Linked DNA regions of Oryza sativa Japonica Group. The main gene of each other region encodes a partner of the protein of the gene in region 6 in a complex. Links are inferred from orthologs where the notes say so. Each region holds a gene or a part of one and is shown on either strand. Other genes may lie near its edges.

Region 1 (4,873 bases), on a different chromosome or scaffold from region 6:
CACCATCACCGTCGTCCTTGACCACCGACAAAGCCAGAACCACCTCCCTTGACAGCCAGCACCGCCCGGCAGCAGGGGAAGAGGGACGGAGGTAGCGGCCCAAGCAAGGGTCTCACTCTCACTCACCGTCGGCGGCGGTGGAGCAGAGGCGAGTAGGTGGTTGAGAAACGGGCACCGATGGGATTGGGGATGGGGATGGATCAATAGATATATGGCTTCCATTTAGTGATTGGACTCCATAAATATAATGAAAAAGCCCTTCATTTCCTATTTTTCTATCTGCGTAAGGCGAAGCGACGCCTTAAGGCATAAGGCGTGCTGGGGTCACCTTACCTTGCCTTAACACCCATGCCTTGCACCTGAATTTGATACTTCCTTACACCTGGAAGCACCGCGAAGAGACGACCTTTTTTCCGTTGTTCAACAATCTACTATAGCATCATACAACCATGTTGACAATTAACAAGTCTTATATATCAAGAAAATTGGCTAGCATATAACAAATTAGTGTGATTATATTTAGTTTATGAACCTTTACAGTGGTCAAATTTTTACTTCAACAAGGGTTTCAATTAGGCAAAAGATGTCTGAAAACCACTATAATTCAGAACTGTAATATGCAATTAGGGGTGAAGGACTACTGAAACAGTCATAGTTTGCCAAAAGATTATACGCCTTATGCCACTGGTTATCTTTGGTAAGGATTCAAAAGGGCAAAACTTCTGCAGTTCTTCATGAACCAAGGTTCTAAAAAGTGGTAAGCAGAATCCATGCAGCCACCTGCCTTGTAGATGCTTATATGGCCTAAGTCCTAACCAGCTGCTTATGTGCCCTAAGCAGTACAAGGTTGCACACAAACACCTTATATATGGCCTTGCAGAACTTCTCTTAGAACACTCGAATAAATCATGACCAGAACTGCATTGAACATAGTACTGTAACTGATCCCAAAATATTAGGACATAGCCCGTTCAATAAACTAAGCACCATTGGTACAGATGCCAAAAACAGTGAAATTAGCATCAGTAGTCACAAAAACTGTATAAAGTTACACAAACCAAAGCTAAAACATCCGTATCGTGGTAAAATGCTCTCTCTTTTTTTAAGCACAGTGAAAATAATACAGTTGGCTAGGATACACAATATCAGAATGAACAAAACAGATGGTGGAATAAACAAAGGATGGAACAACTGGATGACTGGCAGCACTCGAACACATGAACAAAGCAAATTTTGTTCAAAAACTGTTCTTCCAGACAAGAAAAGGTAGCACTCGTATTCTAATGTACTACCAGTTGTTTGTAACTACAGAACTTACAATTGCTCTTAAGCTGGAACATACTCAAGTATCGGGTCAGCAGGGAAGTCCTCGTATCCACTTATGCCGGTAATTCTTAACCTTGTGTTTGGCTGCAAAACAACAGAGATTTTTAATCTAAAAGAACTCTAATTGCTTCGCTGTAAAAACTGAATCAGTATTTATCAATAAAATTCTACCTTTCTTGAAGAAGGTAATTGGAAAAACTTACCTGTCTGTGACCAAGTTTCCTCTGGTACTTCTTCTTCTTCTTATATTTGAAGACTATCACTTTATCATCCCGTCCCTGATATAAAAATATTGGGGAGACATCAGGGTCAAGTAATTTTGAATATCCATGATTAACCCGACAACATACAGAGGACATACCTGTTCCTCAACCACTGCATGAACAGCAGCATTGGTCACCACTGGCATGCCAATGTAAGCCTTGTCTCTAGTTGATACCAGTAATACCTTGTTTAATATTATCTGCACATCAGCATTATCCAGAAGTGAGAATTTCTGGGAAAACAATACTAAAAATGCCAGCAACATAAGCCAACGTATGGGTCCTATGGGATTGGAAGCTTTGCATCAGAGGAGTAATTTTAGTTAGAAAAGGAACGAAGCTAATATATGCAGGCTACACAAAACTTATCGAAAAGTTCTGAATAAGATATTTATGTGAAATCAGGAACTGGGATTGAAGTGTTATAATTACAGGGAAGTGACTCTTTTACTTCTAAAATGAAGTAGGTCACTACCACTTTCCATAATTTCAGAATGTACAACCTTCCTCGTTGTTTTGAAGTTTGTTATTGCATCTCATGGATGAAAAAGAATAATAACCAAATAACCAATACTATATATTTGCCTTTTCCTAATTTACAATCACCTTATCTAGAAGCCACCTCAGCATCATATACCTTTTAAATTTATGGATTAATACAAACCAACTAACTAGCAAAAATAGGCCAAATTTCTAGTTAGGGTGTAACAAGTATCCTCCTGCATCCTCTAAAGTGGAAGCACCAGACCTGATCATTGACATTGGCGCCTTTCAGCCTCTGCGTGTATATATACCTTCCAGGCATCACAATGTACTGTCTCGACCCAATCTGCGACAGAAGAAAAATAATCAAAATAGCTCCCTCGTTATTATTCACAGCGCTCATACAAAACAAAACACAGAGAAACCCTCCTCAGATGCACTCCTGCATATTTCAGAAATGCATCCGAACAATTCTCTGTAAGACTAGTATTGTATCATTCGAAAACACTGTAATTCTCTGCGCCGTTTTCTTAATGGTGTGTCCTGTACATACTAATAATCGGCGTGCGCGCATTCCTATTGGCGCGTGAATCCTAAGCTTCTTATGCAGCATAGAGTAAGCAACACAAGCCTGAAATCAAATGCTCACTTCACCGCAAGAAGCAACGCAACTAGCGCCAAATGCCTGTGTAATGATATTATTTAAAGAATTCGAGGTAATGTAGCATGAACAAATGTGATTCTTTTTTTGTTTGTTTGCAGTGAGCCGAGCAGGACTAAATCTGAAATATTGGCGGCAAGGGCAAGCTAGCCCCACCATGACAACGGCGAAGATGTCGGCGTCCTTCCCGGCGCCCGCGGCTGCGATCTGCGCCTCCACAGGCTCCGGCACCGCAGCCTCCTCTTCTTCAACCTCCTCCTCCTCTACCACCTCCGCCTCGGCCTCGGCCTCCACGGGTGCGGGCGCCGGCTCCTCGGCGGAAGCGAGGAGCCGCCAGCAGCGGCGGGGCGCGGACGCGGCGACGGGGAGGGAGCATCGCGAGGCCGGGAGGGACGGGGCGGAGGGGAAGGCTAGGGTTTTGGAGGCGAGGAGGCGGAGGGGCAGCGTCGCGGTGGCCATGGCCGGCGCGCGGGGGGGAAGAGCAGTGTGGATGAGAGTGTGGGCTATCGTATCGGAAAGAAAGAAGAGGGATAATATTGTGGATAGGGAGGTTACCCTGAGCCGTTCGATTGGAGATCAACGGCTCAGATTAGATACCCATGAAAAACATGAAACTATGCCCTACTAGTTTTTTAGCGATACTGCACGTACTCATTTTGTTTCTCCTTTCTAAAGTTTAGAATCGTTTGATTTAATCAGTTAAAGATTATAAAAGAGTTGGATCGAATGTGTTGATTAGACCATAAAGAATATGCGAATTAACACGAGTGATGAGAACTCTCGTGAACTCTCGGACGAAAGAGCCAAACTGAACTACTACGCCTCCTCGACCCCTCTTCCTCACAGGCTCGGGTGACCTTGCCGCCGGCGAGGTGAGGGAGAGAAGTCCGACAAACTCTCTCTTTGTAGGTCAATCAATTTAGTTGGGTTTTTCTTTTAGTTTGAGCGTGAAGGTCGGCGATGTTGGCCTTCTAGTCCTAGGTTTCATGGAGAAGGCAATCGAAGTTTCTTCTCTAGTGGTATCCCTCTAAAACACCGGGTAATTCTCTATCACCGTGAGTTAGGAGAAAGCTAGACCTAGTTAAGGGAAGTTAGGCAAGTTATCTTTCTTTTCTCCAGCAGGCTTTTCGCAAGGATGATAGTTTTCTTCCTCTTTATTGGTGGCAAACCTTCAAGAAGCAGTTGAGTTTTGTTTGCTATATGCTTGGATTCCTCAACCTTAGGCTATGGAGGCCCTAATAAGGTAAGCTTCTTGGTGCTTTTTTATGCAACTTGCCATGAAATCTTTGTCTCTATCACCAATATCAACGATTAGGTTGTCGACCTTGATGGTTCTGCTCCAAGAACAATCTCATTTAGCTCTGGATGTACTCATCTATGGTATTGATGAACCTTTTCATGAATTGTCATGGCCTTAACCTCTATTGTTGTGAAACCCTATTTGGGAATGCGTCAAGGCAACATCTTCTGTAGCTCGCCGTGTCCATGTAGCACCCACTGCCATCAAGTATGTCACCAGTCACCACCAATGTGGGCATAAGACAGAGGAGGACCTGATTGTTGTTTTTTTTTTCAAATCTTGTTGAGTCCTCCTTTGCTTATATTTTGACCTAGCCATCTTAAAGAGACTATCTTCCGTACTCCCAGTTCTATCAACAATGAACATTGACATGTTCAGTAGTCACATTTCTATGGCATTGCTTCGACTGTGTAGCCGTAGCCAATGCAAGGTATAGCGCACTATTGCTTGGCCTGTTGCTATATGCTGCAGCCCATGCAAGCGCATCAAAGGCTATCAAACAACATTGATAAACTGTGAGACTGTTATCTAAGTTTGTCTTTAAAAACAAGAGTACAAAGGACAACCTTTTTATTATTTGCAATGATAAGTTTTCTAAATTATTAAGAAACTGTGCAGTACGATTTCCAACATAAAAGAATATCACTTTAAAGGCCATGACAATCGATGCTGAATCGATTAAATACCATAGCTTATATAGAAGATGTTTATTATGCCATAATTTATGGCCTTTTATCATTCGCAACCATAACTTTTTCCAAATTATGCTACCAAAATAATAATAATAATAATAATAATAATAATAATAATAATAATAATAATAATAATAATAATAATAAT
Region 2 (3,618 bases), about 8.4 Mb from region 6:
TGCTAGAGACATATGTATCTTTTATGTATCTTTTATAACCAAACAACACGATCTTCAGGAATGGACCAAAGAAATGGTTTCCCATACCAAAGCAATTTCACATCCGTAAGACTGCAACTTGGTCCTAACAAGCTTTCCTCTATATTCTCAAGAGCCTCTCACATCCTTATCCATTGGGCGAATGATATTGGCATATTGACATGCCTGGTAGTCACTCCTGCAAAACTACAACTATCACTCAAGTACAATAACCTAGGACAATACCATGACTGTCAGAAGAAATCAGTATCAAACAAATAAGTGACCATGTGATCATCAATTTTGCCAATTCTATTCTTGATCCACTGCGCGTTCAGACAGAAATGATACAAATTAGGTATGTGGTGAGCTGGTGACCAACAGTAAGTTTCAGAAGCTAATTCAGAAGAATTTCCAACTCTAATTAGTGTTATTCTGTTACTAAAAGATGAATTAATCATTTAATTTTGTTCACTTCAAGGAGGTTTGCTCTTAACAAAAAGAGCACAGTTAAGTTCATGATTTTAAAACATCTCATCATACTGCTTTGAACAACTTTGTTGTAAACCTGGATACACTGATTGATGGTACAACTACACAAGCACTAGTAGTTATTGACCATTCTAATTGTGCATTGCCATTGCCCCTCAACCTACTAAACTTTGATCTCTGTAGTCTCTACAGGTAAAATTAAATTATCAAAACACTAGTTGTGGAACAAGCATTCCCTCTAAGTACGCAACGTAATCCTAATAACATCAGAACTCGGTAATCTTATGAAATCAGACCAGTAGGCATGCGTTGTAAGAGGTAAAACTTTTGTGATTCAATTCAAACGTGAGGCAGTAAAAGTACAGGAATTCTACAAGAAATGAGTGAGATGAGAGAAACGAAGCCACAAAACCATCTCTCAACAGCCATCAGGCGGCGCCGACCTCCTGCTCGAGCTTGCGCACGTACGCCGAGAGCACGGAGACGACGTCCCTGGCCGGCGCCTGCAGCGTGGTGACGACGGAGGTCGCGGGCCCCTGCAGCGAGCCGAGCAGCTTGGCGTACACCTCGGCGCGGCTGGGCATTGTCTCGAGCGCCTTGAAGTCCCCGGGGGCGTAGAACTTGCCCTCGAACACCGCGCCGACGAAGTCGTTGGTCTCCTCGAGGCGCTCCTCCTTCTGGAAGGCGCGGTAGGGCTTGAGCGCGGCGGGGACCTCCTCGGTGTGGACGAACAGCCACGCGTTCATCCCCTTCATGCACGGCTTGAGCGCCTCCCACGGCGTGCCCTCGATGGCCTTCCCCACCAGCGTGTTCTTCGCCACCAGCAGCCGGCAGGTCTCCGGGAGGGTGTCGCGGATGCCCTGCAGCTGCTTCACCGTGAGGCCCTCGTAGCGGATCCCGGCGAGGAGGTAGCAGCCCTCCAGCTGCTCGCGGACGGCGGCCACCGTGTCCTCCTTGCGGCCTCGGGTGATGGCCGCGCTGATGGTGGAGCGGCGGAGCGGGCGGGGGCGGGGGCGGGGTGCGAGGGTCTGGAACGCCGGGAGGGGCTTCGCGGTGGGGAGGGTGGTGCGGAGGAAGGAGGAGGTCTCCATCTTCGGAGGCCGGGAGCTATGGCGGGTTGGGAGAAAGAGTGGAGTGGGAGAGCTTATCTGTGGGGAAGATGAGGCGGGGGGCTCACTGGATTATGTGGGACCGTATCGTCAGTGCCTGAGAAGATGGTGAACTCAGCTCGGTCAGCTGCACAGAAAGAAGCTTCCGTGGAGATTGACCTTTGCTTGAGGATTTATAGCCGTTCGATCTTGATCCATGAGCGGTTGAAAATAAGATTAAGAGTTCCAAATAAAAAAAAATAGAGGCATAGAGCAAACGCGTATGTGTGGTATTCATAGACGTCAATTTAAACCATAGTGAGTGAAGTCGTGTACCAACAACTCCAATCTTCACTGCCTTGTTCAACACAGCATACATCACTATTGTTTTCTTGAGTTCAAAAACTCTTGATATGTACAATAAAACATAACATACATCAGTGTACTGAATTATTCAACACAATAGATATCACTATATAAGAAAATGACAGCGATTAGGCGCCCGATCAGCGGTAGAAAAATCGGGCGCTCGCCGCCTCCCGCACGCTCCCACCCCTTATGCGTTGTCCCCCCCCCCACGTGCCCCACCACACGCGTCGTTATAACAAATCACCCGCACATTAAGGAAATACTTTATTAAAGGAATCCGTTTCATTTTTTTTTCCACCAACAATGTTTTAGCAAGTGTACTCGTGATGTTTCACTATGTATGATCAAATGTTGCAATGATTTGAAACATCCTTTGCTATTTGCTGAAATATTGTTTTTATATAGGATGAAACAATGCCTGATTTTTTTTTGGAAACTGTTGTTTCATATGTTGTAACAAAATATTTCACGATGTGATTTGGTTGTGTTTCAGCTTTTTTAAAAATATTGAAACATTTTCGATCTATTTAGTGAAACAATGCCTGATTTTTGTAAAAAATCGAGCGCCCGATTTGTAGATGCATCACTATATATATATATATATATATATATATATATATATATATATATATATATATATATATATATATATATATATATATATATATATATATATATATAATTCAAACTTTTTTTTACAGGTAAGAAAACCATGCGAATCTCTTGTACGACGATCAAAATGGATATAAACATTGCAAGGATGTCAGGTGGAAAGGATATAAACTGCGACGATCAAGCAACAGCAGCTGCTCTGATGCTGTAAACACGGAGTTGTTCCGGACTCAGCATGCTCAACGCAATTTCACAGAAAACCAAACATCCGATGCTTACCATTCTCTCCATAACTCGTGTGCACTTCAAGCCATCCCTAACATGAAATGATGGTTTTGATAATGGAAGTGTATAGTTCATATAATAATGTCATTGGTAGTACTGAAATCCAAGAAATAAGATGCAGGGAAACAAGAACGTCTGGTACAGGGTGAAATTCACTTTTAGCTCTGCTGCAGCTCTGCTGCCCTGAAACCCTGACGATTCTACATATATAATGTCCGGCCTATCTCTCAGCCAGGAAAAAAAAAATACTATAGCGCATCAGCATATTTTCTGATGTCCCAACTTAAACAAGTGGAATGAATCAGAGATGGAACTCCGGCTAACAATTGCTCCAGAATTGCTAGACAAAACAATGGTGTGGCACAAAATGCATGCCAAATAACAATGAAGGGAGCATGGATACTCAGAACAAGTGTCACTCTGTCACTGTATACATTCCTTTTCCAAAATACAGTTAATGGCATCCTCAACAGTATCAACAACCTGCATGACATAGCAAGTGTAAATAAAACAGCATGCAGACTAATAAACATAATGGCATGAGGCCACAACAATGGATTGTCAATGTTTCTGATTAATAAAACTGCAAGCAGTTTAAAACTGCATCGGCAGACAGCAGAAGAAGCTTTTGGTAGATGACAGCCAATCGGTAACAAGGATGTGCCGGGACTACAGTTCAAGACCCACAAAACACCCACAAAAGCGCATGTATTAGATTAACAAAACAATTATTTCTTTGCAAGCATGAGAACAA
Region 3 (3,857 bases), on a different chromosome or scaffold from region 6:
TTCATCCAGACAGAAAATCTGGCTCTCTTCCATCCAAAATTCAGACCAGCTGTTACCTGAACAAATTTGAACCATGAGTCATTCAAGTCCATTTTGTACTACCATCTTCTTTATAGTTCTTTCAGCAGAAAACATCAAAATATTTATAACAAAAACTAAAAATGGTTAGTTACTCTTACACACACACCAAAAAAAAAACTAATAACTGAAAAGGAGTTTTGTGAGGTTATGTGGTGATTGTTCCTTCCTTGGGCATCGAAGCATCAAGGGCCCTAAAGAGAGAAGCGTGGGGGCAGTAGAACACATGCAGGCAACAACACCATGTAGCCAAGCAAGGCAAGCAAACAAAGATTCTTTCCAGCAACTTAGGAAACTAGGAATCCATCTTATGAGACTGTCAGACTGATGCTGAAAAAGGTCAAAAACATAGTCAGCTACGGCCATGTTCAGTTCCTACGATAGAGAGATTACAAATTTTGTTTCCACAAAAAACATCGTGGTTAACATTTCAAGAACTTGTGACGGTACACCATCAAGTCACAAAGATGGCTCAAGAAGGCTAAATTTCAGATAAATTTTACAACCACATCAACAGGAAGGGCATCAGAAAAAAAATCGAAAATGGCACTCTTCAGATTGTTCACATCGTGCCTGACAAAGTGGCAAACAACAAACAAACCCGAATTTGCTCCAGTTATTTCCTTGTCCAGGTTGATCCTTTGTGCTTTAATCAACATCAGGTCAGACGAAAGAGTTGTGAGAGGCCCTAACAAAACACATCATGGAAGTGTATATACAGGCAAATACCTCACAAATATAGAGTGCAGCACAGCAAGGCTTCTTGAAATTTGCTATGATTTTGAGTTTTTGACAAACACAGAAGGCATCAAGGTGCATATGATATTTCCACTATGGGAACACACATTAGATTTAGTGGTACTTCTGTAGGACAGCTAAAGCCTAAAGGAGAAAAAGGAGGGACATGTTAGAAGAAAATTTGTTCAGTACTGGGCTTTGTGTGTTTTTAACGGTGACCGGTTTATCCATTATCTAAAAAATACAAGATGAAATTTCATCGGGAAAGAAATAATCACATTTTGCAAACATTGTGTTTCATATTTTGAACAGCAAAATTCGCTGGGCATCAGCTTAGGAAATACAGAGACGGATGAACAGAACATAGAGGTGTACAGAAGAACAGCGACCGACATCACTGCTGGTTAGACGTTCTTGAGCTTCTTCATCTTGGATGGTGGCCATCTACCTTTCTTCCTCAGCCGCCTCTTCTGGACAAGCCTCCTGCGCCGCTGCCTCAGCTTCTTGGCCAGCTTCATCTTCGCCCTCTGCTCCATGATCATCTTCTGCTTAGTTTCGAGCGGCATTGTCTCAATCGAAACCGTGGGTTTTGGCTCCTCTGGTTGATCTGTGCCAGCTTCTTCTGCGCCAGCCTCTGCCGAGGCATGGACAGAAACTAGCCTCTTCTTGGTGAAAGAAGCATTCAGAGGGCTCTGCGAGGAGAGATTCTTGCACTGGAGCCTTGGGGCTGTAGCATCAGAAAGGACAAATGGCAAGCCTCAATGTGCATCATTTTAGATATAGAATTCAGAGTACATGCATGCTACTTTCAAAATTTTGATAGAATCTCCGTCATATAAGAAACTTGAAAGCTAATAAGTCTAGCTCATGTGTGCCACTTCATGGATAGTATATAGTACAATAACTAGTAACAATCCTAGTGTTCTCAATTACATATTATGATGAATCTTAGCAGAGCACAGATATGTAAAATCTACTCATCTATTAACAATCAGGCCCCAAATGTAGGGTGTACTACGAATGTCACCCTTTGCCAGTGACCGGTGCTTACATAGCATCTGATATTATCATTTAAGCACGAAAGAACCAAAGCTTCGAGAATCTGCAGAGTTCACTGAGATGAATTATACCTAGCTTTGTACAGAGATGATAAATGCACGGAATCTCCCACGAATTACTGCATCTGCACACGACGTGTTTGAAGAAATTCCCTAACGAGCCAACCGCATCCCAGAGAATCAGAAACGCCACGAATCACCAACGTCAAATATCTAGACCAATCCTCCCACCGAATTACAAATCACACCTCACAACAATGGATAGCCTCGTACCCACTCAGCATAATCCAATCCAAGAACCAACACCCCACAACCCGAGTAACTTATGCGCAAAAGTCCCGGTACGGAGAAGGCGTTCACGGAGGTTACCGGGGATGGTGGAGGCGACATTGGCGGAGGCGGGGAGAGCTCTGGCGCGAGGCGGGGAGGCGGAGGAGGAGGCGAGGAAGGAGACGGTCGGGGAGAGGAGCAGCGCCATGGCCACGGGCAGTGTGGGATTCGGCTTCTTGGCCCGTCGTCAGCCTATCCACCCATCAGCCCGGAGGGAGGAGATAAGCCTGTGCTGCTGTGAGCGCTCCGCCGTCCGATGGAGAATCAACGGCCAGATTTAATCTCCGTCAAGTAAGGCTGCTTGGCAGTTGGCCCACATGTCATAGGTGGAGAGAAATTTTGATTTTGATTTTCTTTTTCTCCTCTCGCCGCCTCCGCCGCCGCCGCGGGTGGCGGCGACAATCCGCATCGGCGGCGTCCCCTCCGCCCGGCCGCGCTCGCCGTCGCGTCCTACGCCGCCGCCGGCCGCCACATCCTGCGTTCGACGTGGATAGCAAGAGGTGGGGGAGCTCGCCGACGACAAGAACCTCCCGTTCGACGGCCAAGCGGGTGCCCATCGGTGATGAGAAGAGCAGCTAGCGACAACCTCTTCGTCTCCCACTCCAAGCCGAAGCACGCGCCGGCGCCGCCGTGTACCGCATCAAGAATGTCTCCTCCTCGTCGTCGCCGTCGCCGTCGCCGTCGCCGGCGTAGAGCAGTTTCAGCATCGAGGACGAGGAGGTGTCTGTACAGGAGCTGCTGCCAATGGTTGATCCGGGTCGTCAGCTCTCGTGCGCCATTGGGGATGGAAGCTTCTGCTCCTTCAGCTCGCGGACACCCATCAAGATTATGGAGCGTGCAGAGATCCTCCAGCCGAGCGTAGCTTCGACATGGACATCAATGCTGCCGGAGAGGAGGATGAGGATGATGCACGAGCCATCGTTGTATCAGTGTCAGAGAAGATTTACAGAATCTACGACAAGTCTCGCAGGCTGGCTCGCAGGGTTCAAATTTCCGGTTCGACCAAAGTTTTTTTTATTCTTTTGTGTGAATTTAGTAATATTTATTCAAATTTGACCAAATTTTGTTCGAAAATTCAAATAATTCTGGACCAAATTTCGGTATATCAGCACCCCAATACAAATACTGAAAACGAAAAATTGAACCATGGGCTCGCCAAGCGCCACTGATTGCTACATTGTTTATCTAAGAAAGCTTTGAGTGGGGTCGGAGACGCCTTGCGACAACATTGGCAAACTCCTCTTTGTGGGAACGACGACGACAGTTGGAGATGGTACAAAAGCGAAATTCTGGGACTTTGCTTGGTTGCAAGGGAGAAGGCTTAAGGAAGTTGGCCCCTCTGGTCTAAGCGACTTTCTGGAAGAAAAACAGAACTCTACAGTAGGCCACCAAATCTGGCCAATGGCTACTCGACATCAACCTATCGGCGATTGCAACTAGGATGACCAAACTAATCAGTCAGCTCGTCACTGTCTGGAATGCAGTCCAAGAAGTGCATCTCGTAGAGGGCGAGGAAGACACGACCACTTGGAAGCTAACCAACCATGGTGAGTATATGGTGGCATCAGCCTACAAAGCGCAACTCCTAGGCACAACAAAGTCAGAATTTGATACCCTCATTTGGAAGCCATGGGCCCCATGAAAGAGCAAGAT
Region 4 (3,964 bases), on a different chromosome or scaffold from region 6:
GTCCTCTTCCTGTCTTCCTGGCCATCAAGGAGGAGAGAATCAACTCCACATCTTCTCGGGTGACCTCTTTGATAGCTCCTTCGGCGAGGGATGGGTGGGCGGAAGTCAAGGAGGCTGTTCTTGAAGACGGAAAAGAGAAGTAGGGGCCGGCTCGACCTCGACCCGGTGTTGCGATGTCGTCGCGAGCATGCCGGTCTGTCTCCTCCGAGAGCTCCACTGTCTCCACTTCAAAAGCCATCAACGAGGAGGAGCCCAAGAGCGATGTGGAGGAGTATGAGGAAGAGGAGGAGGTGGACCAGTGGGTAGAAGTGTGCTATCTGGAATGGAGGTTGATGCGAAGGGGATCTGGAAGTGGGAGCCAGACTTTTGCTACTGTCCCCATCTTGGATGCTCGCGAGAATGTGTGGGAGTTGGTGGTGTGCGACACGACATTGTCCCTCTAGTTCACTTGCTTCTTCCCCAACACCTCCATCAACAACGTCACCCTCCGCATGCGTACTCATCTTCATCACTACCGCTTGAGCTCAAGTTTTGCCGCCACCACCGCAGCACCCCCTTCCCATCCCCGCGGCTCCTCACACTCCTGACACGACTGGGCTTTCCTGCAGATAGCTCATGAGCTCGAACTCGCCGGCTCCCTCACCTACCTCCTCTTCTCCCCCGTCGTGGACCACTGGAGCCACCTCATCACTGACCTCCCACCACCATTACCACCTCCCGTGGATGGGCTCGCTGGCCGCCGCCCCTCTCCCCACTGGAGGAGATGGGAAAGAGAGGGGGGAGGTGGAGAGATGGGGAAGAGAGGGGACAGGTTGGGAGGAAGTCCACTTTAAATTTTAATTTTCTGATTGGTATGCCACGTTAGTGAAACCAGTCATCCATAATACCATGAGACTGACTTGGAAGGTTTTTCCAAAATGGGGGGGAGGGGGTGAAGATTGCTGGTATTGCGGTTTAGAGATACCATTAAACTCGACGTAAAATAAGGGATAATAAGTGGACTTATCACTGTGAGTAATACTAGTAGTAATGAGAGTTGGGCTTGGGCCGCCCTTTTCTACAGTACTACGATATATGGGCCCCTGCTCACACAGTACATAGAGAGACGATTATGATAGGATAGGAGAAACAAGTTGTACGCCACGCCGCAGCCGCACAAGACTTGATCCTCTTCTTCTTCTTCTTCTTCCTCCAGGCTCCAGTGGCGATGGCGACCATGCTCTGCTCCTTCACGCCCGCCACCAGGGCTCCGCTCCTTCGCACTTCCTCCTCCTCTTCCTCTCTCGGCTTCGCCACCTCGCAACTCGCCGGCCTCAGCCTCGGCCTCTCCGCCGCAGCCACCACCGCGCCCTCCGCCGCCGGTCCCAAGCTCCACCCCATCCTCGCGCGTACGTCATCTGCCTCCTCCTTCTTCTCTCTGTTTCGAGCCATCCACCCGCAGATTGACATTACAGTTTTATATTACACCACCAATGTCATTTCTGCTACTATTAAAGTTGTTACTTTATCCTTCGTTTTTTTTTTGCGCTATCCAATACTCCACTGTATATATACTACTACTAGAACCAGATGACCTATTTGTTAGTAATTGATTGCTTTAATCTCTCGAAAATAGACTAGCTGTCAATCTATTACCATAAACTCAGATCTTTCTTTGTATTTTTAAGAGAATGGAAGCTTTATTGAATTTGGTCGTTCTTTGCACCATGTCAGTGCACAACCAATAGATACCACACAACAAGAAAAACAGAACTAACTCAACGATTAAGGACCTAATATCGGAAGACTAGGTTGCCGCTCATGTGCCTGGGTAAAAAAAAAAAACCTTGACCACATGCTCCAAATGAAGACAAGCCGAACAGACAAAACCCCTGTAATCTGGCTTCTTGAGAATAATCCATGATCGGAGCCAATGTGTGATCAAGAAAATAACCTGCAAAGAAGAAGAAACAATTTTCCTGTCAAAAATCACATCATTCCTTTATAGCCAAATAGCCCAACAAGTCAACTCCTAGTAGAAAAGGAGGCCTAGACTCTTTGTTTTGTCGCAAACTCCATTGTCCAGACATATGTGACACACTCCTAGGTGAAGAAATGTTCGATGCAATCTGGATTAAAGACCAAACTGATCGGGCTAGCCGACATTCAAAAAATAAATGCTTTATCGTTTCTTCCTTGTGGTAAAAACAATAGGTCTTATTCCCTTTTCAATTCCGTTTAGCCAGGTTATCTTTTGTTAACACCACCCCTCGACATAAATACGATAGAAACATTTTCACTTTGAGAGGGATTTTTAACTTCTAGATATGTTTGTTAAAATTGGGAACTCTTGTATGTGCAAGATAATGAGTTTTAACCAAGAATCTTCCATCAGGTGTTAGATTCAATTTAAAGTCATCTTTCTCGTGTGACAACACTATATTAGCAATGCGTGGAAAGAGATGATTCCACGCCACTAACTTAAGGCCAATAATATCCTTGCGCCAAGTGAAATTTAACAGGGTTGTTTAGAATATATTTGAAATGGTTGCTTGTTTATGTCTGACAACCATCTCTTTGTTTCTCTAAGACATAAGCAGAGCTTCTTCTTCTTACTAGTGTATATAAGAAAGAAGGGGGAAAAGAAAAAATATAACTATTCTGGCCATTTCAAGTTATAGTTTTAGTTTTATTCTAAGTCAACCATTCATAACTTTAACTATCAATTTCTTATTTAAAAAGATAATTGTGACTTATCAATTTCTAGAAATTTGTAAAGTTTAACAACATGTTAATTGTACTATATATTATGAAGGTACTTTTCATGATGCATATATAAACACATAAATATTATGATATTAAATGTTTGGCTTATGATAAAGTTAAGGACAAGTAATTTAAAAGGGTGAGATTATACTTTATCTTTTGTTTGCATGATGCCACAAATTATAGAAACTAGTAGTAGTAGGAACAAGATGGCGTGTATGGTGATGTTGTTGTATGATGTGGGGGTGGGTGACTCAGGCCGGATATGCCCCTTCACGGACAAGAAGACCAACAGGGCGAACAAGGTGTCCTTCTCAAACCACAAGACGAAGAAGCAGCAGTTTGTGAACCTGCAGTACAAGAAGCTGTGGTGGGAGGAAGGCAAGCGCTTCGTCAAGCTGCGTCTCTCCACCAAAGCCCTCAAGACCATCGAGAAGCATGGCCTCGACGCCGTCGCCAAAAAGGCCGGCATCGACCTCAACAAGAAATAAATCAAATCATCATCATCATGATGCATACATACATGTATTCTCTCATCAATTGCCGCTGTGCTGAATAGACCAGAGCTGTATGTAGTCCATTATTAAATCCATTCATCTCGATGATGCAATTTATTGTAGAGTACTACAGTATGCATTCATCGGTGGTGGTGGCCGGCTTCGTTTCCTTAAATTTCCTTTTATCCCGTGTTGCTGCTGCAAGTCCGGCTCGAATTGTTTGCTACTAGTGTTTCATTTCGGTCGAGTTCCTAATTAATACTGTATGTTGGTTACGAATTATAAGATGGATGGATGTAACTTGAGCAGCATCAGGTCGTGCAGTTGGCATCTTGCGCTTTTCACTTTAGAGTGTCTTCCAGTCTAAGCTGAAATTGATTAATTATTTTATTTCCTTTTTGGCTATTGATATTTAATAAGAGCCTAAATGAAAGAATTAACTTGTACAAAATTGAAAAGCTGTTTGTTTTGTACAAAAGGAACTCCTACGCCAATATTGATTGTTCTACTGCTATGGCCTGTCTGGTTTGAGATAGCTGAAATTGATGGATTGTTTTATTCCCCTTTTTAGCTATTGATATTTAATAAGAGCCTAAATGAATAATGAACCCCTACAAAATTAGAAGGTTGTTTTTTTTCTCTCTAAAAATGTAGAGACGAGAAAAAGGTGTTGAGTTGTAGACGTGGAGCAACCCGGCAGCTCCACACACGCGCAACCTCTG
Region 5 (4,976 bases), on a different chromosome or scaffold from region 6:
TCTTATCAATGAAAATGATATCATCTTCTGTCCTTTGCACCGTAGGAAAACATGGACACCAATTCTCCAATGATCTTACCTTTTCAGTTATCTTTATTTGTCGCCAGAAACATAGCCTAATTTTGGGTATATGATCCTATATCACCTGTAGTGCTGACTTGCTTGTGTGTGTGGACAATTTAACATGGGGCAATTACTCATTTGACCCTATTTTGATGTCTAACTATCAATTTGACCTTACTTTTCTAGGTTTGCTCATTTGACCATGCTTTTTAAAATTGAAGATCAGAGATGACCCTATTTTGTGAAGGGTAGATAACGGTGTTAACTAAGAGGGAAATTGTCCGTTTTGCCCCTGCTCATTTACCATATTATATCAAAGTTTTTTCTTCATCGGGACTTTTTAAATATTTGCAATGATTTTCATGGCTTTTACAGATCTGAGACAGATTTGTCTTCAATTTAACAGAATTTTACACAAATTTGACAGCATATTGTCCAACAGCAAAGCATATTGTCCAACAGCAAATCAGATCCAAATCCAACAATAAATTCGTATCCAAATCCATCAACAAATCCAACCACAAGTTATCCTCCGTCTCTCGTTCCACACGACGCACGACGGCAGCCGGCGGCGCCGCCCCTCCGCGCGGCAACAGCCGGCGCTGCTGCCCCTCCTCCACCCTCCGTGCGGCAGCAGCCCCGCCGCCGCTCAATCTCTCCGCTTCGAGCACGGCAGCCGCCGCCGCCGCCGCTCCCTCCTCCTGCGCGCCGACGCCGCTACTCCTTCCCTCCTCGCGCGGCCGCCGCCGCCGCTCGCCGCTCCCTCTCCTTCCTCGCGCGGCCGCCACTCCCTCTCCCTCCTCGCGCGGCCAACGCCGCCGCCGCTCCCTCTCCTTCCTCGCGCGGCCGCCACTCCCTCTCCCTCTACGCGCGGCCAACGCCGCCACCGCCGCCGCTCCCTCTCCCTCCTCGCGCGGCCGCCGCTACCGCTCCCTCTACGCGCGGCCAACGCCGCCGCCGCCGCCGCCGCTCCCTCTCCCTCCTCGCGCGGCCGCCGCCACCGCTCCCTCGATGCGCCGCCAACGCCGCCGCCGCCTCTCCCTCCAGCCCGGTCGGCGGCAGCTCTCCCCGTCACCGGCGAGGTGGGGATTGGGACGAAGAGCTGGGGAATGGAATGGGAATCCTAGGGTTAATTTGTAACACGGGGGTATTTTGGTCACTTTAGGGTAGTATTTTTTTTTTCTTTTTTCTAAGTGATGTTCTACCGGTGAAAGCAAAACAGGTCAAATGGAAACTTCAATTTCAAATAACAGGGTCAAATAAACAAACCTAAAAAAATAAGATCAATTTAGTAGTTGGCCTTTAAAATAGGGTTAAATAAGCAATTATCCCATTTAACATATCGGAATTTCTACGCGTTTCTCTAGCTTTGATGCATCTGTGGGCTGCAAAGCCCAGCTAAGCAAAAGGCCCATCTCTTCCTCTTCCCCTTCTGGCTCCCTCTCCCCCCCTATCCCCTTCTTATCCGCTCTGCTCTCTCCACCTCGCCTCCCCGAAACGAAATGGCAGTGGCGTTCCACTGAACCAGGCCAAGCCAGACGGACAAGACTTCGCCGCAGCCGCGTCCTCCTCACCGCGCCGCCGTCGCAATGGCTACGGCCATCGCAGCCTCCGCGTTCCTCTCCTCCGCCTTCGCCAGGGACAGGCCGCTCCCCCGCCAGCGGCGCGCGGCGAGGCCCGCGACCCGCCGCGCCGCCGCGGGGGGCCTGTCGGTGCGGTGCGAGCAGAGCGAGAAGCAGAAGAGGCAGCCGCTCTCCGCGCTCGTCCCCCGCGAGCAGCGATTCATGTTCGAAGGCGACGAGCTCTGCGGCCCCGTACTAACCCTCACCTCTCTTTCTCTCTCCCGTATACATTCTTCTCTTTCTCAGTTCAGAAAATGAATAGTAATGCTACATTCCTTGGATAAAGGGAAATTTTACCGTGATTTAGGATTGCCGCTTATTTAGGAAAGCTCAAGATTAGTCCCATTCATTTCTAAATCCGTAAGTCACTTCATCTTGCTCTATTGGGTCAAATCCTTTCTTTACATGAATAATGTTAGGGAAAATACACAATGTTTTTACATGTTACTATACCGTATAGACCACCATCTTATTTTATTTAAAGTTATCTAGTTGTAATTTATTACGAAAGAGGATTCCATAAAATGAACTGAAAATAACATGGAGGGAACGTTGGTCTTTCTGAATTGGTCGCTAACATTGTGTTGTATTACTCAACAGTGTTCGCACCTACATGACTACCATATCTTTTTATCTGTGGATGTTTAGGTTTGTGAAGTTAGAATTCAGTACGGATACCATTCTTGTGTTCTTTCTCTCTTTTCTGTGCAACCTGTTCTGTGTAGTGATCGGACCAAGGAATTTAATTTGCAGGACATATGGAACACAACATGGTACCCTAAGGCTGCAGATCATGTAACTACTGAGAAGACATGGTATGTTGTTGATGCAACAGACAAGATTCTAGGTAGGCTTGCATCCACCATTGCAGTACACATCAGAGGAAAGAATGAGGCCACATACACTCCAAGTGTGGACATGGGGGCTTTTGTTGTTGTGGTATGTATGTTTCTTGAAATTAATTTATAAAGTTAAATAGTGCACACAATAAGATCCTCTGTAGTCCCACAAAAGGAAAAGAGGTTTAGCAGCACATACAAATAAGCACCAAAAGGTATCTGGAAGCTGAGGTCCACCTGAAGGCATTTTGAAGCTGATTTCATGTATATATATTTATGTTACTGTGTGCTTTTAATACTAATGCATCTCTGAAGAGTAATTGCTACGCATATACTATTGTAAGTTCCTGAACTACCATGCTGAACTCTATGTTCACATAGGTTAATGCAGAGAAGGTTGCTGTTTCTGGCAAAAAGCGGTCACAGAAGCTCTACAGGAGGCACTCTGGACGGCCTGGTGGAATGAAAGAAGAAACTTTTGATCAGCTTCAGAAAAGGATTCCGGAGAGAATTATTGAACATGCAGTGCGTGGCATGCTTCCTAAGGGCAGAGTAAGACATCATCTCTTAGAGCTCTTATCTAGTCAGTTTCATCAAGTCTTTTTGACCTTAAGTCAGCCTACCTGGGTATACATATGCTCTTATCCTTATTTTTGGTCAATTTCTAATACATATCTGAAAATGGGTATCCTCGTTCTGTTCCATTATACTTCATTATTGTGTATAATTCCCCAACTTTATATACCCTGTTCATGGAAATATTCGCTCTAATTGAATGCCGAAACGGCGTGGGCTAACGAAGTACTAGATGTATTCTCCCAAAACTCCTATGTTGCCTGTAAGACATCTTATGATTGCCTAAAGCCTTTTACTTATGCCTAAGTTCATTTATAAAAAAAAAAAACGTTTACTATGTCAACCTCTCAAGTTCTCATATGTTAGTGACACTGACACATGTAATCCGACCAACTACAGCGGTTGTACGTGCTCTATGTAGCCTTCTCAACATTTTGAACATTTTGCAGCTGGGAAGAAGACTGTTTACCCACCTCAAGGTGTACAAGGGAGCAGAACATCCCCATGAGGCTCAAAAACCTGTTCCACTGCCTATCAAGGATAAAAGAATACAGAAGTCTGAGAAGTAGATAATTCCTGTGGAGACTAAGAAAGACACAACAATCTCACGTAAATTCCTCCCCTCGAGATTTTGTCCAATCTTTGGAATGTGATGCATCTGTCTGTTTGGGGAATGGAGTGTAAAATTTTTTGTAATTTACTTCCTCCAAAAGTTTGTGTTTCTAAGTCATAGTTCTTGTTGATTACATATCATGTACCTAATACCGTACGATTTTAAGCAATCCGATATTTCCATATCCAATTGAGTAGTGCAATTTTGACCTGAGATGAGCTTGATGTGTCATTGTTTGGGGGCAAAAGTGTTCTCTTTTTTCAATGGGCATCAGGTGTTTCTAAATTCTCTTAATAGTTGATGTAGATCTGTTAATTAATTGCACGTCCGTGTTTATCTTCCATATAACGAAAAAGTTGACAGTACCAATCGTGTGCTCAAGTAACACCTATTGTACCATGTACTCATTCTGTAAAAAAAAAGCCAATTTAGATGAAGATCTGATACCACCTAAAAATAATGATTAGGAGGTTATCCAGATTTATATTAGGTGGTATCAAATTTTCATCTACGGGGTTGTTTAGATCCAGAGGTGTAAAGTTTCGACGTATCACATCGGATATTATATAGAGTGTCGCATAGGGTGTTCGGTTACTAATAAAAAAAACTAATTACAGAATCCGTCAGTAAATCGTGAGATAAATTTATTAAGTCTAATTAATCCATCAATAACAAATGTTTACTGTAGCACAATATTGCTAAATTATGGAGCAATTAGGCTTAAAAGATCCATCTCGTAAATTAGTCGCAATATGTAAAATTAGTTATTTTAGCCTATATTTAATACTTCATGTAGGTGTTCAAACGTTTGATGTTACAGAATAAAAAATTTTAAGGTGGAATCTAAACAGGTAGTTTTTTCAAGGAAGAAAGTAATTGCGAGAACATAGATTGAAGTTCAATTGAACAGAGGCGGCATGGCAGTGAGATGAGTAGATCCCGGAGTGGCCGGGTCGTCGCCTATAAAATTCAGCGAGATTCATTCGAGAGCGCGTCACTGCTTACCTAACCCCACCCAATCACCCCAACCGAACCCCGCACGGCGCACCGGACGCCGTCGCGTCCGGTCGCTCGTCCTCCGCGACCCCACCTGAACAACTGAAGAACTCATCATCCGTCATCCCTCCCCCTCCCGCCAGTTACCCTCCAGTACCATCCTCCGCCCGCCTCGTCTTAAAACGCCTTCTGGAAAATTCCGCCAATCCGAGAGGGATTTTTCCTCGCAACCAACCAAACCAACCAAACCCCCAACCAAGCGAGCAA
Region 6 (4,363 bases):
TTCTCTTGCCGTGGTTCTGAATTTATGTGAGCTGATCCATCCTTGCCTGCCATTCATTCTTGCAGATACATCACATGGACAAGTTCGAAGGTGTGCCATATGGGCTGTTCCTTGGTCCCAAGGTGAGGAGATGTGTCTCATGCTATTCATGCTTTGCTTCCTCGTGCCCCATGCTACCATGGATGCTTGTTGGCTTACTCCTGCTCCAACGGTGTCCATTTGTCGAGTAGTTTGCATACTTGCAGTACTCCTTTATTGCAAGCATGAATTTGTGATTGGGAAGCTAATGTAGAATTTGAACTGTGTTGATATAAAAGGACTGGAAATTTTGAAATGTTCTAAGATGTATTACAAATATTTGTGATCGTCGGAAAAATTGTCTGAAATGTTCTAAAATGTCTCTGTTTTATGTGGTTGACAGGAGCTGGAGGAGGTGGGTGGGATTGAGGAGCTGGAGAAGGAGATCAAGAGGAGGATTAAGAGGAAAGAGACCTTAGATGCGATCCAATGAGAGCTACTTATCACACATTTTTTTCTTTTTATTTGCTGTCATCTCTTATTAGTTTTTGCTTCAGTGGCAATTGTAGCCTTGTAATATGCTTTTCTGTCCTGTTAATAGAAGAATAATTTAGATAGATATTTGGAAGCTCATTTGGACGGTGGAGCACACAGGTATTAGAAATGATGTGCTGGGGCTGAATGGCTGATGCTTTTGCTAGTACTGCTGGTAATGATATATATTAATCAGTACCATTCTGAATTTATTAGTCTGGTTGAGTCGTGCTGCTGACAGTGAGGTGTTCACTGATAAAATGTGTACTTTCTTTTATATTCTTTATTTGCCGACATTCTGTATCTCTTGTTCACGAGATGTGCCGGATGTAAATATGAAAGTGATGCATGGCTGATTACTTTTTGACCGTGAAGAAGAATTAATGAAGCTTATGCACACTAGGCGGTTCCTCCATACTGCTGAATGGCTGTTCATTAAGGCCCTGACAAGTGACAAGGTCACAGACTGACAGTTACTTCTTGAGGTCAAGGAGGTTAATGTAGTTTATCAGGATTAGGTTGCAAACTGACAAGGAAGATATTGTCCGTTGTGTTTCTACTCTTGGTGTCAAGTCGATCCTCACAGGATCACGGTCGTGGCATTGCTGGTCCTTGGTAGAACAAGGTAGGGCAAGCGCAATGTTGTGATCTGGGACCTTTCAAATCAGATCCTAGTGATTGTCCCCTGGTTATAAAGAACTGCATGTTACGGTTACTGCATGATTAGTTAGGCATAAGCATGTGACGAGGATCCTCGTCGTGATATTCCGTCCATTTTTCAATGTTGATCAAGCGTGGCAGATCTCCTGCTGATCTGCCAGCAACTGTTGCTAGGTTCAGAGTTTGCTTGATCTTGTTTAAGCTCTTCATCGGCGTTTTTTATGTTTGAAGTCATCGTTTAATGGCATACTACTACTATACTAGTGATGTCCTGTAGTGCATTAGAAAATACAGAATGGGCCACATACTCAAACACTGTTACCGGTTGACCAAAACAAGGCATATATCGAAATTCACACACTGCAGACTTGCAGTTGTTGACTCATGTAACTTTACCCTTCTCTTAGGCCGTGTTTAGTTCACCCCCAACTCAACGGTTTTGATGGGCCTAAGGCCCAAATCAACGGTTTTGATGGGCCTAAGGCCTGAAACCATGTCGAACAGTTCGATGGGCCGAACCATGACGAGAAAGCCCACCTGCGACACTGGACAGCAACGGCAGCCAGCCACAGCCAACTCGCCTTATCCCGTAATCCATCCATGGCATAAAGCTCCCTCCTCAGCTCCCACCTCCGTCTCCGCGCACGCTCCAATGGCGGCCACGGCTGTGACCCTGCCGTCCTCGCCGGCCCCCTTCCCCGTCACCACCACCGCCTCCTCCTCCCGTAACGTCCGCCTCCTCCTCCGCTCCCCGCCTCCTCGCCGAGCCCTCCGCGTCGCCGCCTCCGCCGCGGCCGACGCGCCACCCAAGCCGGCGCCGCCGCCGACCTCGCCTTCGGGCATCGTCCTCGTCGACCCCACCGAGGCACAGAAGGTGCACCGCCTCAAGGCTGTATACGACCAGAAGGTGGTCCCCCTCATCACCGAGGAGTTCGGCTACACCAATGTCCACCAGGTGTTCGACCTCTGTCTCCCTTCTCGCAATTATAGGATAGACATGGCCATTTCTTTGCGGAACTCGGGAAATTCGATTGTTGTTCAATAATTGAGCTTAGAGGAGTGTGTTTTGGATTCTCGATTTTATTCAGGTGCCCAAGGTTGAGAAGATTGTAGTGAATTGCGGGTTGGGGGCTGAAGCCGGTAACTCCAAGGGGCTCGAATCCGCCATGAAGGACCTCGCCATGATCACCGGCCAGTGGCCCGTCAAGACGAAGGCCAAGAAGTCCGTCGCCAGTTTCAAGATCCGCGAGGGGAACACCATTGGTATTGCCGTTACGCTCCGCGGCAGGGTGAGTCCTCTGTACCTCTGGCTACTTGCGATGCAGACATTGACAAATTGGGGACTGCAATGTTGTATCAATTTGGGATTTGCATGACAGTATAATAGCCTAAAGTATGTGTGAGAATTGCAATTACTCCATCCAGTTCCAAATTATTGTCACCGTTGGCCGTCAGTATTTTACATTGACCACAAATTTTAAATGGTTGGACGAACGAAAGTTTAATACCTATCTATGTGGAGTAACAACCTTTAATAATATGGCATATTTTTAGGTATATGCATTTTATTTTCTAAAAAATATAAGTGATCAAAGTTCAAATATGAATAGTATCCAGTGACAAGTATTTGGGAACCTAGGGAATATGTTTGATCGATGAGCTTATTTTGGCTTGCTGCAGGTAATGTTCAACTTCCTGGATAGGCTCATCAACCTTGGGCTTCCTAGGACCATGGACTTCCTTGGTGTCAACCCCAACAGCTTTGATGGCCATGGCAACTTCACCATAGGCCTTCGTGATCAGGGCGTGTTCCCGGAGATCCCGTACGAGGTCGGTGGGAAGAAGAATGGAATGGACGTCTGCATCGTCACCACCGCGAAGACCGACAACGAGGCTCTCAGGCTGCTCACCCTCCTTGGCATGCCGTTCGCGGAGCACATCAAGTCCTCCGTGGTGATCCGGAAGAAGAGGTTGAAGCGCCACCACTTCATGAGCAAGGGCAGGGGAAGACGGTGATTGCAAACCGCTGCCTAGGCACGTTGAGCTTTGCTTCTCACTTTGTCAATTGTCATTGTTTTTGCAAAGTTTCGTTTAGAAGTTTGATGATTTTGTTATCTTGTCACGTGCTGTATTTACTGTCAGAAGACAAAATGAAAAGGCTTTGCTTTGGTCAGGTCATTCGCAGATGAGCACTCATAAATGAATTGGGTGTAAAGAGATTATCCGGCAGCATTTTCAAACTGCTTAACTTTACTCACTAAACCACATCATATATATCTCTTTGGTCCCAAGCATCTCATAGCCCAGGCCATTACCCACACCATACTATCATCCTATATCAGTATTTCAGTAGCTACACGTTGGCAATTCAGGCGGACCGATGACGAGCTCTTCTTCAGGGAAGGCGCATGGCTTGCCCGCCGCCCCGAGCTCCGGGCACGGCACCGGCGAGACGTCGGAGGCGACACCCTTGACATCGGTGCAGTTCCATTGCAGCTTCTTGGCGTCCGGCGCGAGCTGCGCGGTGACGTTGGACATGCAGATGCCAGTGTAGGGGTCGTTGGGAATCCCCTCCATCCTGCCGGCCATGGTGACGTTCTCCGCGAACACGTCGCTGTAGTTGATGCCGGTGACCTCCGGCAGAGCGTTGGGGTCGGAGGAGTTGTCCGGGTGCTGGCCGTAGTTGCCGGTCATCCAGAACACCCACTTCATGGTGTGGAGGCTGAGGCCGCGGACGAACACGTCCTTGACGTAGCCGCCGCGCCCCACGCCGGACTTGATCCTGACGGCCGACTCGGTGTCGATGGCGACGTTGTCCACGGCGCGCACGTCGCGGATGCCGCCGGACATCTCGCTGCCGAGCGCGATCATGGCGCTCGTCGGGGAGATGCAGGTGAGCCTCCTGATGAGGATGTGCTGGCTCGGCATGTTGAACTTGATGCCGTACTGGTCCCAGCCGCTCTTCACGGCGATGCAGTCGTCGCCGGACACGATGTAGCTGTCCTCGATCTTGACATGGGAGGAAGAATCTGCACCATGGACAACAAGAGCTCATCACATCTAGCACAAACCAATGCTTTCCTCATGGCAGCATTGATCAAGTGCAGTGTGACTTGTATGTTTATACCTGGGTCGATTCCATCGGTGTTGG
Region 7 (4,456 bases), on a different chromosome or scaffold from region 6:
AAAGCAACACAGCAGATAGACTAGACTATGAAAGAGAAGAGGGGCCAAAAACCACAGTAACACTCCTTTATAATTATTTGATGAACAGATGACGATCAATACCTAATCCACAAGCTTCCTTAAAGAAAGAAAAAGTCTAAACTTTCTCTAATAATCTAAGGATATGGCATATGTTGGTTGTTCCCCTCGTTTGAGTGGAACTAATTACCACCATCTTTTCTTTTGTTCTTGAGTGATAACCGCAGAATATCACGGTACTATTTTTTTTTCTTTGATGAAGTGGTTATCTATCGTCTTCAAGTGCTGACAATCCGATTGATCTTCAACATATTGTGCTGTTTCTACAATACTAGCAGTGCCCAACTGCCCATGACAGCGATGAAATTGATTTTCATAATAGTGAACCTAAATGCATCCTATTTTTCCTGGTAAAAGATGTTCCTTTGAGATGTATGTCAAAGTTGTGAGCGAAAATTGGAGGAAGGATGCAGGCGTAGAACTTACCATCCCAATCACCAACTCACATACTTTACGTTGTAGAGAGTAGAGATAGTAGGTCCCTCAAGAAGGAATCAAGGAAATGCAGATGTCTCATTGCAGTCTTGCGGCAACCAAATCAATTAAGAGGCTGAAACCCCACTACAGCCCTACATGCCAAAAGAAACTACTTTTGCAAGAACCTCTTGTAAAGTAGTTTCAAATACGGCCTGAACCATATATCATACCCCCAGTGATGATGTTGATCCATTGCAAATTGCAATTCCACATGAATACCACTACTTTCAAGCATCAGATCAGCCCACCACAACACCCATAACACAATTACGTGGAACTTGTGGTACCGGAATACTGGAATAGACCCATCCTAGTCCCTAAAGCCTAGCTGCCAGGAAAGGTACATGCATACAACAAGTCGAACAGGACTAACCAATGAGTTGAACATGGGCCTTGTATTCATCTCACTGTTGATGATTCAGTTGGAATAGACCCGCCCTAGTTCCTAAAGCCTAGCTGCCAGAAAAGATACAGCAAGCCGAACATGGCTAAACAAGGAGTTGAAGATGGGCCTTGTATTCATCTCATAGTTGATGATTTACATTCCAAACATTGTTATCAAACATGGATTGCGAAAATGGAGAAAAACGGGGCAGAGAACTTATCAGCAGTCTGCATTGACCTCAGGACTTTCATCTGCAGCTGCCAACACCAATTGCACCTCAACAATTCCCTCTGCTCTTGCCTTTTTGCGTTCACGCTGCATGCGGAAGTACTCTCTCTTTCTTGCTCTGTAACTGTTTGGGTTCTCAGGTTGTTTCTCGTATGGGTAAACACTTACCTGTAAAAGAAAAGGCAACAGAAAACCACTTAGATACAATTATAAGTAGATGCTGACAAGTTATAGCTAGGATGCAGACTTTCACCTTTTTCTTGTCTGGTCCATATTTCTCGAACTTTACGAGGCCATCGATCAAAGAAAAGAGGGTGTGATCCTTGCCCATTCCAACATTATTTCCAGGATAGACCTAAAATGACCAATGAAAATGTATAAGAAAAAGCAAGAATATGTCCGTAAAATGTGAAATTACTGTATGAAACGCAACTGCTCATAACATGTAGAAACATAGACTATTGCAGAGGGTGTGTGTGGTGGTTCAGGGATAAACTTCAAAGAAGTTGCATATGCATTACTGAAACAGCGGGACAAATGCCAGAACTTGGAAAGTACATCGAAAGGATGCATGCATGCCTTGCAATACGATACAATACATAAGAGGAAGTAGTTTAGCAGCACATGCAACTGTTTTTACAGGATACACACATTTATGTAGCACATTCTTGTGCTATGTTAGTTCATGGATGTGAAGAAAGTAACTATCAGTTGAGTCTTTAGTGCAGAAACAGCACGTCCTAATATCAAAGTGTACTTCCTCCTTTTCTCTCTGCATTGCATTAGAGTGCCTGAAACATCTAGTTCCCCTGAAGTCTGAAGAGTGTGTAATTCTTGGCCACATCCCACGATATTGGTAAGAATGTACCACATGCGGCCACGTCTTAGCAAACGGGTGGCGTTGCATAGAATAACAGACTTTCTCTAGGACCAACTTTGGAACACGATCATTGTCATGCCTTTTTGTTAAAGAATATTCACACCATTCCTGAACTCTGAATTGTGCAGATGTTAGTTAACACAACAACCTCACCTAAATTCACAAATTGTTCAGAGCTGGACGAAGCTATACTATCAGTCAAAATTTGAGGAGAAAAGTCGAACACATGAAACATCCAAGAACCAGTAAGTAAAGGAAGAGGATGGTGATGACCCTGGTGCCGCGCTGGCGGATGATGATGGCGCCGGGCTTGGCGACCTGGTCGCCGTAAATCTTGACACCGAGGCGCTGCCCGGGGGAGTCCCTCCCGTTCTTGGTGCTCCCGGCCCCCTTCTTGTGCGCCATCTGGATCGTCAGCCGCCGCACCGGCATCGTCATCGGCACCCCCATCCCGACCCCGCCGCCGACGGAGAGCGAGACACGGTCAGCGCGGAGGAAGGAGGCGGAGGAGGAGGAATGGCACGGGGAGGAGAGGGACATCCCCTTGAATGCTCCCACCAGTGTGAACGCCATGGACGCCATTGCGCTCTCGAGCAGCGGCGGAGTCGCGAGGAGAAGAGAAAGAGAAGATAGAGTGTGGGAGCACAGCGGCGAGGTGATAACGTGGGAGTGGAGAGGAAGACGTGGGCTCTTTTTTTTTGGGTCGGGATCACCCATTTACGGCCCATCACGCGGTTGGGAATCCCTTTCCGGCCCACGTACTTTGGCCCAGCACACGTAAGCGGGAGGGAATGACGCGCCGGCCCAGCACGTGGGTGGGAATCACGTGCCGGCCTACCGCAAAGCCTTTGTGGGCCCGATGTTGTGGGCTTCGTGGAAACGCGAGGAAAAGGGCCGGCCCATACATCTCTTCTTTTTCTTTTTGCTGGACAAAATTAGATGGAATTACTTTTTTTTTTCAGTTACATTGCAGACGCACCCACGCACACACTATTACACAAGCAACACCACACTCATAGCCCTGCGAATGTGTCCCTTAACATGCGCTCTAAGAGAGAGAAACTAGCGGAACATTACTAATTAATCTCACTAAAATCTTGTTGAAAGTCCACTTGCATATGCGTAATATTCGTGGGCGCTAGGATTTGAACCCTGGAGGATAAAATCATATACCCACAACTCCACCACCACATCACTTTCGCTTCCCAAATTAGATGGAATTATAGTATTGAATTAAACATTACGGAGAAAAAAAAGAGAAATATATTAGCAGAAGGTAACATGGAGAAAAAAAATAGAGAAATATATTAGCAGAAGGTAACAGAAAAGACCAAAAATGAATCATGAATTTCAAAGAGAGAGAGAGAGAGAGAGAGAGAGAGAGAGAGAGAGAGAGAGAGAGAGAGAGAGAGAGAGAGAGAGCATAAGTTGTGATTCTTGTGGCGAAAACAACAAATCAACAATATTTCCTGGAGATTGAAGTCACTTTGCGAGAGGGAGGAGAGGAGTGGAGTTAGGGCCACCAGAATTCCAGAAAGCATATGAGATGGAAGCTAGAAGAAGAGGAGGAGGAGGTGTGGATGAAATCTGAATTGAGTGTGTGGATGAAGTGAATCGAAGAGCCCCAATTGTGAGCAAGAATGATGGCGGGCTTGACTGCAAAGGCAAAGTAGGCTGGCTGGGGATTGATTCCTTGTTGTTGTTGTATGGACACACCACCCCCACCGGCCATGCCCATGCATGATTCATCCTTGACAAAGTGTGCCTCGCTATGGAGTGTGGATCTGTGGATCCAATTATAGCTAGCCCTCCTTAACCCCACCATCCGTTTTCCACTGTTCATCTTCAATTCATGATTAGCCCCCCCCCCCAAATTTTGATTTAGATTATTACCACAGATTATCTACTTAATTATAGGAATAAATTGTATACTATCTTCATTTTTTAATATATGACGCCGTTGACTTTTTCTCACACATTTAACCATTCGTATTATTTAAAAAGAATTACTTAATTATAATTTATTTTGTTGTAAGTTGTTTTATCACTCAAAGTACTTTAAACATGATTTATATCTTATATATTTTCATAATTTTTTTAATAAGACGAATGGTAAACATGTATTTAAAAGTCAACGATTAAAAAACGGAGGGAGTATTTTCAAAAGCGAACTTATAGATAGTACTCCCTTCGTCCCAAAATATAAGCATTCATGTCTATGAATCTGGACAATTGTATGTTCAGATTCATAGCTAAAAGTTGTTATATTTTGGGATGGAGGTAGTAGCTTAAAATTGACTGTAACTTCATCGAATATATAATCCTTCATGGTTAATCTGAGAATCATAATTAACGAAATATCTGTTTTTCTCAAAAGAAACGATAATAGCTTTAAAAAAGTGGTCCAA

Evidence for each region.
Region 1: large ribosomal subunit protein uL5c (region 6) and large ribosomal subunit protein bL21c share a complex: the UniProt entries of both Arabidopsis thaliana proteins name them as parts of the 50S ribosomal subunit. The link is inferred for Oryza sativa Japonica Group from reciprocal best matches to the Arabidopsis thaliana genes AT4G01310 and RPL21C.
Region 2: large ribosomal subunit protein uL5c (region 6) and large ribosomal subunit protein uL10c share a complex: the UniProt entries of both Arabidopsis thaliana proteins name them as parts of the 50S ribosomal subunit. The link is inferred for Oryza sativa Japonica Group from reciprocal best matches to the Arabidopsis thaliana genes AT4G01310 and EMB3136.
Region 3: large ribosomal subunit protein uL5c (region 6) and large ribosomal subunit protein cL37 share a complex: the UniProt entries of both Arabidopsis thaliana proteins name them as parts of the 50S ribosomal subunit. The link is inferred for Oryza sativa Japonica Group from reciprocal best matches to the Arabidopsis thaliana genes AT4G01310 and PSRP5.
Region 4: large ribosomal subunit protein uL5c (region 6) and large ribosomal subunit protein bL28c share a complex: the UniProt entries of both Arabidopsis thaliana proteins name them as parts of the 50S ribosomal subunit. The link is inferred for Oryza sativa Japonica Group from reciprocal best matches to the Arabidopsis thaliana genes AT4G01310 and PRPL28.
Region 5: large ribosomal subunit protein uL5c (region 6) and large ribosomal subunit protein uL13c share a complex: the UniProt entries of both Arabidopsis thaliana proteins name them as parts of the 50S ribosomal subunit. The link is inferred for Oryza sativa Japonica Group from reciprocal best matches to the Arabidopsis thaliana genes AT4G01310 and emb1473.
Region 7: large ribosomal subunit protein uL5c (region 6) and large ribosomal subunit protein bL27c share a complex: the UniProt entries of both Arabidopsis thaliana proteins name them as parts of the 50S ribosomal subunit. The link is inferred for Oryza sativa Japonica Group from reciprocal best matches to the Arabidopsis thaliana genes AT4G01310 and RPL27.

Annotation. Positions count from the first base shown.
Region 1 is NC_089036.1:9,030,277-9,035,149, forward strand, and holds large ribosomal subunit protein bL21c, read right to left. Parts: upstream 3,239-4,873; 5' UTR 3,193-3,238; coding exon 2,890-3,192; intron 2,419-2,889; coding exon 2,338-2,418; intron 1,790-2,337; coding exon 1,688-1,789; intron 1,605-1,687; coding exon 1,530-1,604; intron 1,411-1,529; coding exon 1,327-1,410; 3' UTR 1,081-1,326; downstream 1-1,080. UniProt on the Arabidopsis thaliana protein: This protein binds to 23S ribosomal RNA in the presence of protein L20.
Region 2 is NC_089037.1:9,831,564-9,835,181, forward strand, and holds large ribosomal subunit protein uL10c, read right to left. Parts: upstream 1,663-3,618; 5' UTR 1,602-1,662; coding exon 939-1,601; 3' UTR 816-938; downstream 1-815. Other genes in the region: mitochondrial hydrolase YKR070W, read right to left, coding at 3,288-3,347. UniProt on the Arabidopsis thaliana protein: This protein binds directly to 23S ribosomal RNA.
Region 3 is NC_089035.1:9,871,010-9,874,866, reverse strand, and holds large ribosomal subunit protein cL37, read right to left. Parts: upstream 2,399-3,857; 5' UTR 2,353-2,398; coding exon 2,244-2,352; intron 1,544-2,243; coding exon 1,221-1,543; 3' UTR 1,071-1,220; downstream 1-1,070.
Region 4 is NC_089039.1:104,682-108,645, reverse strand, and holds large ribosomal subunit protein bL28c, read left to right. Parts: upstream 1-1,164; 5' UTR 1,165-1,207; coding exon 1,208-1,388; intron 1,389-3,003; coding exon 3,004-3,236; 3' UTR 3,237-3,553; downstream 3,554-3,964.
Region 5 is NC_089035.1:31,965,588-31,970,563, forward strand, and holds large ribosomal subunit protein uL13c, read left to right. Parts: upstream 1-1,557; 5' UTR 1,558-1,652; coding exon 1,653-1,877; intron 1,878-2,438; coding exon 2,439-2,624; intron 2,625-2,905; coding exon 2,906-3,076; intron 3,077-3,549; coding exon 3,550-3,669; 3' UTR 3,670-3,902; downstream 3,903-4,976.
Region 6 is NC_089037.1:1,440,617-1,444,979, reverse strand, and holds large ribosomal subunit protein uL5c, read left to right. Parts: upstream 1-1,796; 5' UTR 1,797-1,864; coding exon 1,865-2,167; intron 2,168-2,300; coding exon 2,301-2,501; intron 2,502-2,892; coding exon 2,893-3,228; 3' UTR 3,229-3,481; downstream 3,482-4,363. Other genes in the region: beta-carotene hydroxylase 2, chloroplastic, read left to right, coding at 66-122, 422-511; probable polygalacturonase, read right to left, coding at 3,559-4,241, 4,340-4,363. UniProt on the Arabidopsis thaliana protein: Binds 5S rRNA, forms part of the central protuberance of the 50S subunit.
Region 7 is NC_089035.1:41,095,062-41,099,517, reverse strand, and holds large ribosomal subunit protein bL27c, read right to left. Parts: upstream 2,714-4,456; 5' UTR 2,631-2,713; coding exon 2,322-2,630; intron 1,524-2,321; coding exon 1,422-1,523; intron 1,337-1,421; coding exon 1,160-1,336; 3' UTR 868-1,159; downstream 1-867.